3 linked regions of the Nothobranchius furzeri genome follow. The protein of the gene in region 1 purifies or fractionates together with the protein of each later gene. This does not show direct contact. Links are inferred from orthologs where the notes say so. Each region holds a gene or a part of one and is shown in the gene's direction. Other genes may lie near its edges.

Region 1 (4,021 bases):
CAGCAGGAAGAGCAGCTACAAGCAGATCATCCAGAAACCCAACAGAGCCGAGCTGTGAGGGACTCGGCACCGTGTCCTCACCGATGCCAAAACCTAGATAGAGATAGTTTTAGGTGAGAAAAGACTTCAGATGCTGCTGTTTCTTCATTAGGGGGAGCTACCACATACTCAAAGAAAGGTGAACTAGACCAATGAGGCTGTCAGGGTGCATCATGGGAACTTCCTACATCACAGTATTGAGTTTTATTGTCATTTATTTACTATATTTGGTTGCTTATGTGAATAAATCAGTTTTTATGACCATTAAACCACAGAAATCTAATAAAGATGTCACACACCGCCTCCTACTGTACAACTGCAGCTGAATGTTTAGTCTGTTACAGAATAAGACTTTAGGATGTTCAAATGTTGACACAAAGTGCTAATAACGAGCAATAATTTTAGATCTATGTGTTTGTTTTTACTCTAGTTTCAAAGAAACTTGTGTCACTTAAGTTTACTGTATTAAATAAAGGAGTTGAGGGTAAAAGCAGGATTAAGTTGAATATGTTGTAGTATTCACGTTATCCTGTCAACCACGAGGTTCCCACTAGTTTTTTACAAATATTAGCCACATCTGTGTTCCTGATTTTGAACAAATAAAGCTGCGATCAAGTTTTAGTTTGATATCTGAAGTTTTCTTATTACAGTAAAACCATTAAACACGAATTCTGCAATGTGTTTTTATAATTAATATGGATTTACAATTTCACTGTTTACCCTTTACTCAGATTTTGTATCTATGCTTGTTTTTGTACATACTGTAGTTTTCCATGGTGTTTGGAGAATAAACATTGTAAAATTGCAGTCAACATTATTTTTTTAACTATTACGCTTGTTTACACAGTCTGCTCTACAATAAATAAAAATTACACAAATTTCTGCAATTAAGTTGCTTTACACAAGTAAATTTAAAAAGTATGGACACATTTTCACAACTGATGAAAAAGAAATTCCTAATTCATGTTTATGTGATAATACTACTAAATAAGTACCTCAAAGTTTCAATTCAAGAAATAGTTTATTTTTCTATCACAGTGGCAGAAATGGACTCAAAAGGCCCAAGCAAACGTTTTTACTTGGAAAATTTAGAACCATTTATCCTCCTGACCACCGGGGGCGCTAGCTCTCCAATGTTCGCGCAGCCGCAATGCGGTCAGATGTCATTAGCCGCTGCAGTCTGTTGGTCCTGGACAGAATGGACATGTAAAGGGCATGCATGATGATAAAAGTTTTGTCATTTATAAATAATATTTAACCGAACCGCTTTACTCAGTTAGACCGACACGTCACTGTTGACGAGTAACTGAACGCTCGTTGCTGGTAAGTAGCTGTTAGCCTAGCTAACATGCTAATTGTTGCTAACATCTGATAAGCTTAGCTTACTATAAACATACAGCTTACTATAAACATACTTGTTACTAAAAAAAATTCAAATAAAGAGCTATTTTGTGATTTTAAAATACACAGATACTCATTTAAACATATTTAGTGCTGCAGTTTTTACTGTTAACCTGCTAAAACCTGGACATTAGAGGCAGGTGTTCAACTTTAAAGGTTATTAAGTCTACTTTAAGGTGCGTCAGCCCTTTTGGTTTGATTTTTTTTGTAACCTTTTGTGTATAATTCCAATTTCATCTGCACAAATGCTGCTAATAGCAGTGTTTTCATTCACTTAGTCCAGCCTTAGGTATTATAGAATAAACAGGGTTCCCTTAAAGGCGATACAAATGTAAGAAATGTGTCTTGAATAACGGCTGTTTCAAGACTTGTTTTCTTATTTTTGTTCAAATAAACCTGTCATGTATGCTGCCGGGGAGAAGGCAGGAACATGCAGCAGTGTCTGACTCGGGTTCAGGGGCCTCAGGTAGACCTTGGCTCCTCTGCTGCCCCATCAGTGGGGGGGGGGTCCAGGAGGGGGAGGACCCAACCTTACCTGGATGTCCTATGTCATTTATAATGCGGAAGTTGTGCAAATGCATGGATGGGCGTAGATATTCTGCTGGGTTGGTGCCCTCGGACTCCGTGAGGCTCTGTGATGCTGCTGCTTTGGGCCCTGGCAGGATGGGCTGGTGTCTCCATGCCCTGGGTGGCATTTTGGCAGCAGAGGTGCCTATTGGGGCCAGTGGGGGAGCTGGCTTCCTGGAGGGCTAAGCCCAACCAGCCGTTCCTCCCCATCCCCACACATTTCTCTCCTCCTGCTCCCTCACATCATCACACAAACATGCACATAGGACCTTGGGGGGTGGTCAAGTCAGGGAGTGTGGGTATGGACCCCATTTCCGCATTCCTGTGGCAACCTGCCCCCCAATTTTATTTGCACCTTATACACTTCCACCAACGACGTTCCACGCAAACACACACTTAGGGCCTTGGGAGTGAGCACTAGTGGTGTGCATCTCTACCTGCCTCACGATTCGATCCGATTCCGATTATCTGCCTAAAGATTTGATCTGAGTCTGAAATGCATCACGATTCTTCATGCAAAAATTTTCTTTACTTAATAAAAGCAGTAGAATAGTTTTCAGTTTCTTTTTGATTTCGAAATCCCTGAAAAACATAACATTCATCTATTCACTATAGTGAGCAATAATGTTTAAAGTGTGCTGCCTATAATTACTTAAATAATATAAGAAATAATGTTTTCGGTAGAGCAGCTTTAAGATAGAATATTACTGAACTTAAAAATAGTAAACAAATACTGTATTAAGTGATTCTTTCACATCCAGGATCCCAAAACTGAAATTAGCCCAGCCATCTGATTTAAATGTAACGGGTACATCTTTGATTACTGGTAATATTGGCCCTGTATCCTTGTCCACCTTTTCTGTTTTAAATTGGAGCTAGAGCAACGCAGTGCGCATGTCATTGCAACTCTGCCCCCAGAAATAATTGTAAAACCTCCAAACTTTATTGTCCTGCATAGACATAGACCAGGGGTCGGCAACCTGTTCCCATCAAAGAGCCATTATTACCCGTTTCCCACAGTAAAGAAAACACTGGGAGCCACGGCGTTGTGGGCGGGGCCTACCCTCAGACAGCAGAGAGCTGCTCACAACAGGTGACAGCAGTCGGTGCCGGTCGCTCGTGTACGTCAAAGTTCTCTTACATAAGACGATAATCAATAAAACGATTTATATAAAGTGGATCCAGAAGTTGTAGCCCGTCTCTGCCTACAATATTTAGATATTTTTCACCCTGTTGGTGGTTTTACTGAGCAGGTGCCACTTTTGTCATACGTTTCTTTTTAAAACATGTTTAGACTGTTCAGAATACAAATCCAGGCTCTGTCACGTTTCATTGTTGTAATTAAACTTTGTAGGTGGGGAAGGTCAGAAAAGGATCCGATCATTTTGTTTTTCCCTCATTTACAGCGACGGAGATAACGGCGCAGTGCGCCTGGCTCTGGTGTTAATCAAGTTTAATTTTATCTCTTTGCAACAATTTTCACAAGAAAACAGAACAGTTAAAGCAGGGCTTGTGTTGACCGGACAGTTCCCGTATTTGACCGTTTATTTTGACGGAGAAAGAATAGAAAGAATTACCCCGACGCATGCAGACGAACTGACATTTTATTCTACACACATCGCAGATGTCGCTAAATCACTCAAGAAAAGATTCCCATCTGAACATCTGAGCTGGACACTGCTCAGCGCAGCTCACTGTCAGCGTGTACTACATAAGGTCCATAGCGAGCTGAAGATGTGGAGAGGGGCTTGGAGCGCGTTGCAGAACCAGAGCGCATGCAGGAAGATTCCTCCGACTGAAACGAGACTTGTCACTTAGAAAATGTTCCCTGATTATGAAACTTTGGCTGAATAGCGCTTGTTCCTGTCTCCAATGTGGCGACACATCCAGGAGCCGTCTGAGGAGAATCCCAGAATCTCACATCCTCGTCAGCTCAGAACACGCATATGATTACGCACAAGCGTGACGCGTCAACCCGGTCTCACAGTAGACCGGGTTGGAACTGTTCAGGTTT
Region 2 (4,122 bases), on another chromosome or scaffold:
CGCCAAGGCAGCCTTGAGCTGCTGACAACAACCCCCATGAAGGAAGGAATGCAAACAGATGTTGTGAAAACCCGTCCCCCCCCCCCCCCTTCAGATTGTGGACTTCTAGTGAGGTCATCAACCTGCAGGAACTCAAATGTGCTCTGCGCTTCTCCAAGATCTCCCTCCCTCCTGTGGATACAGCTGGCTGAGCGCCACACAGGGCTGCTCGCCCTGGGGAAACAGGATCCCAGCCCCCCCCCCCCCCCCATCGGAGTCTCATGTTGTGAACTGTGATGTTCGTGCTTATATGTTTGAGGCGTTTTTTTTTTTTTTGCATAGTAAAGCTACGCCCTGCCGGGAGTAACTCTGGTGTGCCTTTTTTCCCCTCCCCCAATTTATCCTCATGTAATTCCCTTTTCATCTTTTAAGGTAGCACGACTCGTGTTGCGAATGACCACAGTCACTAATTCTTGTCATGTGTCTTGCCCATGTATGTCTGATCTCTGAATTGTGTGTACTAAAACTCAATTTCATTTCTCTGTATGTCTTGCACATGTGGTAGAATTGACAATAAAACTGACTGTGACTGCTGTTGTCTTTGAGTTAATGGATCTTCCATTCTAGAAGTCTCTGTTCCGTCACAGGGACACACACACGACACAGACAAACAACAACTCTGACCTAACATGCATGTTTTTGGTAGGTGGGAGGAAACCAGAGGTCATAGTCTTTAAATCATAAACGGCCTGTGTTTGATATAGCACCTTCTACAGTGATGGAACCCCCCAAGGCGCTTTACAACACAATCAGTCATTCACCCATTCACACACACACATTCACACCCTGGTGGTGATGAGCTACAGCTGCCCTGGGGCACGCTGACAGAGGTGAGGCTGCTGAGCACAGGCGCCACCGGTCCCTCCGACCACCACCAGCAACAGCAGCAGGTGAGTTGAGTGTCTTGCCCAAGGACACAACAGCAGCAACAAACTGAGCGGGGCTTGAACCTGCAACCTTCCGGTTACGGGTGAGCACCTAACTCCTGTGCCACCGTCGCCCCTACACTGATGTTGTCTTGTCAGTTTTTCATGAATAATCTGTAGTCTGTGTGGTGTGCTTGTTCTGATTCCTAACAGTCGCTCCTTTAAATGATAAAAACACGTATTCCTTTTGTGATGCTGTAAAACCAGTCTTTATTTTAGCCTTTCATGATTACAGTTTTAATAGTTTTTGTTATGAATTAGCCTCCGCAGCACATTTTTATTTTCATATTAAATACTTGAGTTTTAGACGAAAATGAGTCAGAAGAAAAAAAAAAAGCCAAGCGGAACGATTATCTCGGTAAATGTTCCCGCTGTTCAAGGGGAAGTATTTCGGTGTAGAAACAGGACGTTCTCGCGGCTTTCTAACATGGAGGCGAGCACAGAGACGAGTTTTGAAGGAGACTGAATTCACAGTGAGTTTTTCAGCCTGCTGTTGTTAGAGGAACATCCGGTTCAGGCAGCGCGCGACACTAGCTGTCTGCTACAGCATACATAAATGTAACGATGATGTCATTTTACCTGAAACCTAAGTGCCCACCTGGTTGTCTCGTCCTGTTAGCTGTGAGCTAGTCGGAAAGCGCAACGATGAGGTGTTCCCGCAGCCTCCTGCCGCTGCTGCTCCGGTCCGGTAGACCAGCCTCCGGTCAGACCAACCAGAACCACCGTCAGCACCAGGTGAGCTTTTTAACCAGGCAGTGTCGTAAACACGAGCACACCTGGCCCGGGAACAAACCCCTACGGGTTTTAGCGTGTCCTCAGTATGCGAGGTCAACAGAGTGAGATGTTGTCCTCCAGCAGTCTAAACCCATACAGCATAACTAAAGGGATGAGCCAGGGTTACCCAGTATGTCCTCCAGCAGCCTAAACCCATACAGCATAACTAAAGGGATGAGCCAGGGTTACCCAGTACATCCTCCAGCAGTCTAAACCCATACAGCATAACTAAAGGGATGAGCCAGGGTTACCCAGTATGTCCTCCAGCAGTCTAAACCCATACAGCATAACTAAAGGGATGAGCCAGGGTTACCCAGTACATCCTCCAGCAATCTAAACCCATACAGCATAACTAAAGGGATGAGCCAGGGTAACTCAGTATGTCCTCCAGCAGCCTAAACCCATACAGCATAGCTAAAGGGATGAGCCAGGGTTACCCAGTACATCCTCCAGCAGCCTAAACCCATACAGCATAACTAAAGGGATGAGCCAGGGTTACCCAGTACATCCTCCAGCAGCCTAAACCCATACAGCATAACTAAAGGGATGAGCCAGGGTAACTCAGTACGTCCTCCAGCAGCCTAAACCCATACAGCATAACTAAAGGGATGAGCCAGGGTTACCCAGTATGTCCTCCAGCAGCCTAAACCCATACAGCATAACTAAAGGGATGAGCCAGGGTTACCCAGTATGTCCTCCAGCAGCCTAAACCCATACAGCATAACTAAAGGGATGAGCCAGGGTTACCCAGTATGTCCTCCAGCAGCCTAAACCCATACAGCATAGCTAAAGGGATGAGCCAGGGTTACCCAGTATGTCCTCCAGCAGCCTAAACCCATACAGCATAGCTAAAGGGATGAGCCAGGGTTACCCAGTATTTCCAGCAGTCTAAAGCCATACAGCATAACTAAAGGGATGAGCCAGGGTAACTCAGTATGTCCTCCAGCAGTCTAAACCCATACAGCATAACTAAAGGGATGAGCCAGGGTAACTCAGTATGTCCTCCAGCAGTCTAAACCCATACAGCATAACTAAAGGGATGAGCCAGGGTTACCCAGTATGTCCTCCAGCAGTCTAAACCCATACAGCATAACTAAAGGGATGAGCCAGGGTTACCCAGTATGTCCTCCAGCAGTCTAAACCCATACAGCATAACTAAAGGGATGAGCCAGGGTTACCCAGTATGTCCTCCAGCAGTCTAAACCCATACAGCATAACTAAAGGGATGAGCCAGGGTTACCCAGTATGTCCTCCAGCAGTCTAAACCCATACAGCATAACTAAAGGGATGAGCCAGGGTAACTCAGTATGTCCTCCAGCAGCCTAAACCCATACAGCATAACTAAAGGGATGAGCCAGGGTAACTCAGTATGTCCTCCAGCAGTCTAAACCCATACAGCATAGCTAAAGGGATGAGCCAGGGTTACCCAGTATGTCCTCCAGCAGTCTAAACCCATACAGCATAACTAAAGGGATGAGCCAGGGTAACTCAGTATGTCCTCCAGCAGCCTAAACCCATACAGCATAACTAAAGGGATGAGCCAGGGTAACTCAGTATGTCCTTCAGCAGTCTAAACCCATACAGCATAACTAAAGGGATGAGCCAGGGTTACCCAGTATGTCCTCCAGCAGCCTAAACCCATACAGCATAACTAAAGGGATGAGCCAGGGTAACTCAGTATGTCCTCCAGCAGTCTAAACCCATACAGCATAACTAAAGGGATGAGCCAGGGTTACCCAGTATGTCCTCCAGCAGTCTAAACCCATACAGCATAACTAAAGGGATGAGCCAGGGTTACCCAGTATGTCCTCCAGCAGCCTAAACCCATACAGCATAACTAAAGGGATGAGCCAGGGTAACTCAGTATGTCCTTCAGCAGTCTAAACCCATACAGCATAACTAAAGGGATGAGCCAGGGTAACTCAGTATGTCCTCCAGCAGTCTAAACCCATACAGCATAGCTAAAGGGATGAGCCAGGGTTACCCAGTATGTCCTCCAGCAGTCTAAACCCATACAGCATAACTAAAGGGATGAGCCAGGGTAACTCAGTATGTCCTCCAGCAGTCTAAACCCATACAGCATAACTAAAGGGATGAGCCAGGGTAACTCAGTATGTCCTCCAGCAGTCTAAACCCATACAGCATAACTAAAGGGATGAGCCAGGGTTACCCAGTACTTCCTCCAGCAGTCGAAACCCATACAGCATAACTAAAGGGATGAGCCAGGGTAACTCAGTATGTCCTCCAGCAGCCTAAACCCATACAGCATAGCTAAAGGGATGAGCCAGGGTTACCCAGTATGTCCTCCAGCAGTCTAAACCCATACAGCATAACTAAAGGGATGAGCCAGGGTAACCCAGTATGTCCTCCAGCAGTCTAAACC
Region 3 (3,507 bases), on another chromosome or scaffold:
TTTACATTTTAAAAATAAATATTAAAAGACTTGCAGATTTTTACATGGAGTGATAACATGAAAAGAGAAATGTGCAAATGAGATATGACTGGGTGCAAAAAATAACTGCAAATAACAAAAATGTGTGGGGGGCAGACAAAAATTTGAAGTGGTGGTTGTAAATTTTGACGTTCAGTAACAGTCCGTGTACTCATGCAGTCACTTAAGAAACTCTCCAGCTCCACAATGGCTTCATGTATGGGTTGGAGACATTGTCTCAGTGATGTTAGTTTTGCTAGTCCTTCCATCTCTCACCTGCACTGGATCAAGTAGGACATAGCTGACCACCTTAATGAGCTTATCTAATCTCTGTGTCTCAGCAGTAGATAAGGGCTTCCCAACTGCTCCCCCCAACTAACCCCACCAGAAAAGATGGCTGATGCCACCACTGAGTCAAACACCTAGATCACACCGATTGATTTATAAGGAAGCCATACAGAGTCAGGACCGCATCTGTTCCACATTTGGTATGAATGAAACTAAATAAGGTCCTTAGGAGCACTCCCCTGCATTCCAAAGGAGATCTCAGCAGCTAGAGTCAGCTCTGACCCTTTCTGAAAACAGCATCTGCATTATGGCTCCTGTCCATGGTGAATGGTGGAGTCCTCGGATGCTGAGGGGAGGGTGATGGTGAAGGACGGAGTCCTCTGGGCTGATAGGTCAGAGGAGGTTGGGAGATAAACTCGGTTGTGGGAGAGGAATGAGGGGATTGTGAAGGAGTGGCAGAAAAGGTGGGATTATATGAGCAAGGAGAGGCATTTATATAATGTTAAGAAGGAGGTGTTAGGGCATGGGGTGAATAGGGGCAATAGGAGAGAAGAGGTAGTTGTTACCAGGCTCAGATTGGGTCATTGCTCGTTGGACAAAACTCTAAAAATGATAGGTAAACGTGAGACTGGGTTGTGTGGAGTGTGACAGGAGGAGGAAGAGAGGGTAGAGCATGTAATTCTGTGGTGTAAGGGTTATTTTGTGGAAAGGGAATTTCTGCGGAAAAGGATGAGGGAGAGGGGTATTGAGGAATTCACAATGAAGAGCGTGTTGACGAGTTGTAGGGTGCAGATGAGGGATTTGGTGGAGTTTCTTAAGAGTGTAGGGGTTTTTCATGGGGTGTAGATAGGAATAGTTATTTTTGCTGTTGATAAGGAAGGGGAAAGAAATAGGGTGCAAAAGGGGAAAGAAGGAAGGAGGATTAAATGAGAGGGAATGGAGAGTGAAGGTGTAGGTTTTAGATTGTGAGCTCACTGTCTGGTCCATACTCCGGAACAGTTGGAGGCGGTAATGCTCCATTAAGCTGGTTGCCAACCGCTGCTAAACACCAAGTAGAAGAAGAAGGAGGGGCTCCGGCCGTATGGGGGAGCTGTGGAGCACCAGAGTCCGTGTCCCAACAGAAGAAGACTCCGTGGATCAAGCAGGCTGACGTTCGGTTCGTTGGAGGAGGCTGGATAAAGATGTCGGGCTCCAAGGTGAAGCAGGACATGCCTCCTACAGGAGGATATGCCCCCTTTGACTATAAGAGAAACCTACCTAAACGAGGACTTTCGGGTAAATGCGCATTTCCCTCACCTATTTACCTTCACAGACCCACGCAGCGGAGGTGAAATGTTGACCATTCACGTTTGTTGTCGGTGTGGCTAATGCTAGCTGCTCAGCGTCAACATGAAACTGATTATTCCAAGTCAGAATTAAACTACCCGGGGGCTTGAGGCTTGAATTGGTATGTTTACCTCTTAATTAAGAGGTAATTGTCAAATATCCGAGCAAGAAGGAAGTCTGTAAAATACCATAATCGCTCCATGAATCGTTTCTGACATCGAAAGCTAACTGGTGGCTAACACGAACCAGTGTTTAGTTCTCTAGTCATTAGTGTTCGGTCCAGAAGTGAAAATAACTAGTGTTCTTTTTAAGTGACCATTAGAAATAACCATAGGAAAATACCAAAGCTATTGTAAATTCAATACACAGTTGTACAATAATAAATAATATTGTTGTATTAATAAAAACATTTCCTCCTCTATGAATACAAGTTGACCATATTCCGTCTGTAACATCAGACCAACAAGAAGTAGTTATTTGAGCATGTAAAATTTTATACTAATATATTTTACAAATCAACAGGTTATAGCATGTTTGGCATTGGCATCGGTGTCATGCTGGTTGGTTACTGGCGAATGTTCAATTGGAACAGAGAGAGGCGGTAAGAAAATCTCAATTATGTAGCTTTCAGGTTGTATAGTAGTCACATTTGAGCTGATGATAGTGGTATATTTGGTTCGTATCACAGGCGCTTCGAAATGGAGGAACTGGAGACCAGAATAGCATTAATGCCTCTGATGCAGGCAGAGCTTGACCGAAGGTAAAAAACAACTTCATTTATCTGTTTTTTCATATTAATATCAGGAGCAACTAATCAGTTCTTTCATCGTTTTGGGTTTTCATTCTTCTAGTACCTTGAGGATGCTGAGAGAAAACTTAGAGGAGGAGGCGATCCTCATGAAAGATGTTCCAGACTGGAAGGTAAAGTTATTAAAATGCTCAATAAATATAAAGAGTTCCTGTCAGCAGTTTGTTTTACAAAGCCACAAACTATCAGGTTAATTAAACAGCTCTTATTTTTTGTTTATACAATAAAATGTATTTTAGATTGTTTTAATAAGTCGGGCAAATTAACATTTTATTGTGTCTAATTGGAATCCACTGATTTAGTTCTGTGATCTAACTCAAACTGTAATTTTAAAATGAATGCAGGTTGGCGAGAGCGTCTTCCACACGGACCGCTGGGTCACGCCTCTGACAGAAGAGCTCTTCAACCTCCGGCCACGCGAAGAGCTTTTGCACCAGAAATATGGCTTTGCGTGGTACGTGTAATCACAACTGGGGAAAAAAGCCCCTAGCCTCAACTTTTGTGTGAATTTTAGCCTTCGCTCACGTCACCTTGTAAATGTAAAATAAAACAACTTTTTTTCCTGTACCATCTCTGATTTGTCATCAATTTAGCTTATTTAATGTCTGACTCCAGATTATTTAAACCAACTTCGCGCATAGAAACCTTTTAAGTTCATATGTGTATATATAAATAACTCTAGATGGCACATTATTAAAAACTGGTCTGAGTACAGATGGACCCTGTTCCAGAATGATGGTAGAAGAGAGCCAGATGAAATGATGCACCCATCATGCCTAGTGCCTACTGTACAAGCCTGTAGGGGCAGTGCTATGATCTGGGGTTGCTGCAGCTGGTCAGCTCTAGGTTCAGCAACAGGATGTGGTCCAAGAATGAGGTCCGCTGACTACCTGAATATACCGAATGACCAGGTTATTCCATCAATGTTTTCTTCTTTGATGGCAAGGGCATATTCCAAGATGACAATGCCAGGATTCATCAGGCTCAAATGGTTGAGTGGTTCAGGGAGCATGAGACATCATTTTCACACGTGGATTGACCACCACAGAGTCCAGTCCTTAAACCCA

The links.
Region 2: the proteins of timmdc1 (region 1) and ecsit purify together in Homo sapiens (affinity purification with mass spectrometry; 3 studies listed by BioGRID and IntAct, counting the BioPlex papers as one, with this or other methods). This does not show direct contact. The link is inferred for Nothobranchius furzeri from reciprocal best matches to the Homo sapiens genes TIMMDC1 and ECSIT.
Region 3: the proteins of timmdc1 (region 1) and ndufa13 purify together in Homo sapiens (co-immunoprecipitation; 3 studies listed by BioGRID and IntAct, with this or other methods). This does not show direct contact. The link is inferred for Nothobranchius furzeri from reciprocal best matches to the Homo sapiens genes TIMMDC1 and NDUFA13.

What each region holds. Positions count from the first base shown.
Region 1 is NC_091754.1:55,555,290-55,559,310, reverse strand, and holds the start of timmdc1 (complex I assembly factor TIMMDC1, mitochondrial), read left to right. Parts: upstream 1-1,221; 5' UTR 1,222-1,362; intron 1,363-4,021. Other genes in the region: poglut1 (protein O-glucosyltransferase 1), read left to right, coding at 1-58.
Region 2 is NC_091743.1:88,487,589-88,491,710, forward strand, and holds the start of ecsit (evolutionarily conserved signaling intermediate in Toll pathway, mitochondrial), read left to right. Parts: upstream 1-1,322; 5' UTR 1,323-1,438; intron 1,439-1,584; 5' UTR 1,585-1,610; coding exon 1,611-1,700; intron 1,701-4,122.
Region 3 is NC_091751.1:56,690,203-56,693,709, forward strand, and holds ndufa13 (NADH dehydrogenase [ubiquinone] 1 alpha subcomplex subunit 13), read left to right. Parts: upstream 1-1,277; 5' UTR 1,278-1,487; coding exon 1,488-1,581; intron 1,582-2,154; coding exon 2,155-2,233; intron 2,234-2,320; coding exon 2,321-2,392; intron 2,393-2,483; coding exon 2,484-2,553; intron 2,554-2,784; coding exon 2,785-2,904; 3' UTR 2,905-3,007; downstream 3,008-3,507. UniProt on the Homo sapiens protein: Accessory subunit of the mitochondrial membrane respiratory chain NADH dehydrogenase (Complex I), that is believed not to be involved in catalysis. Complex I functions in the transfer of electrons from NADH to the respiratory chain.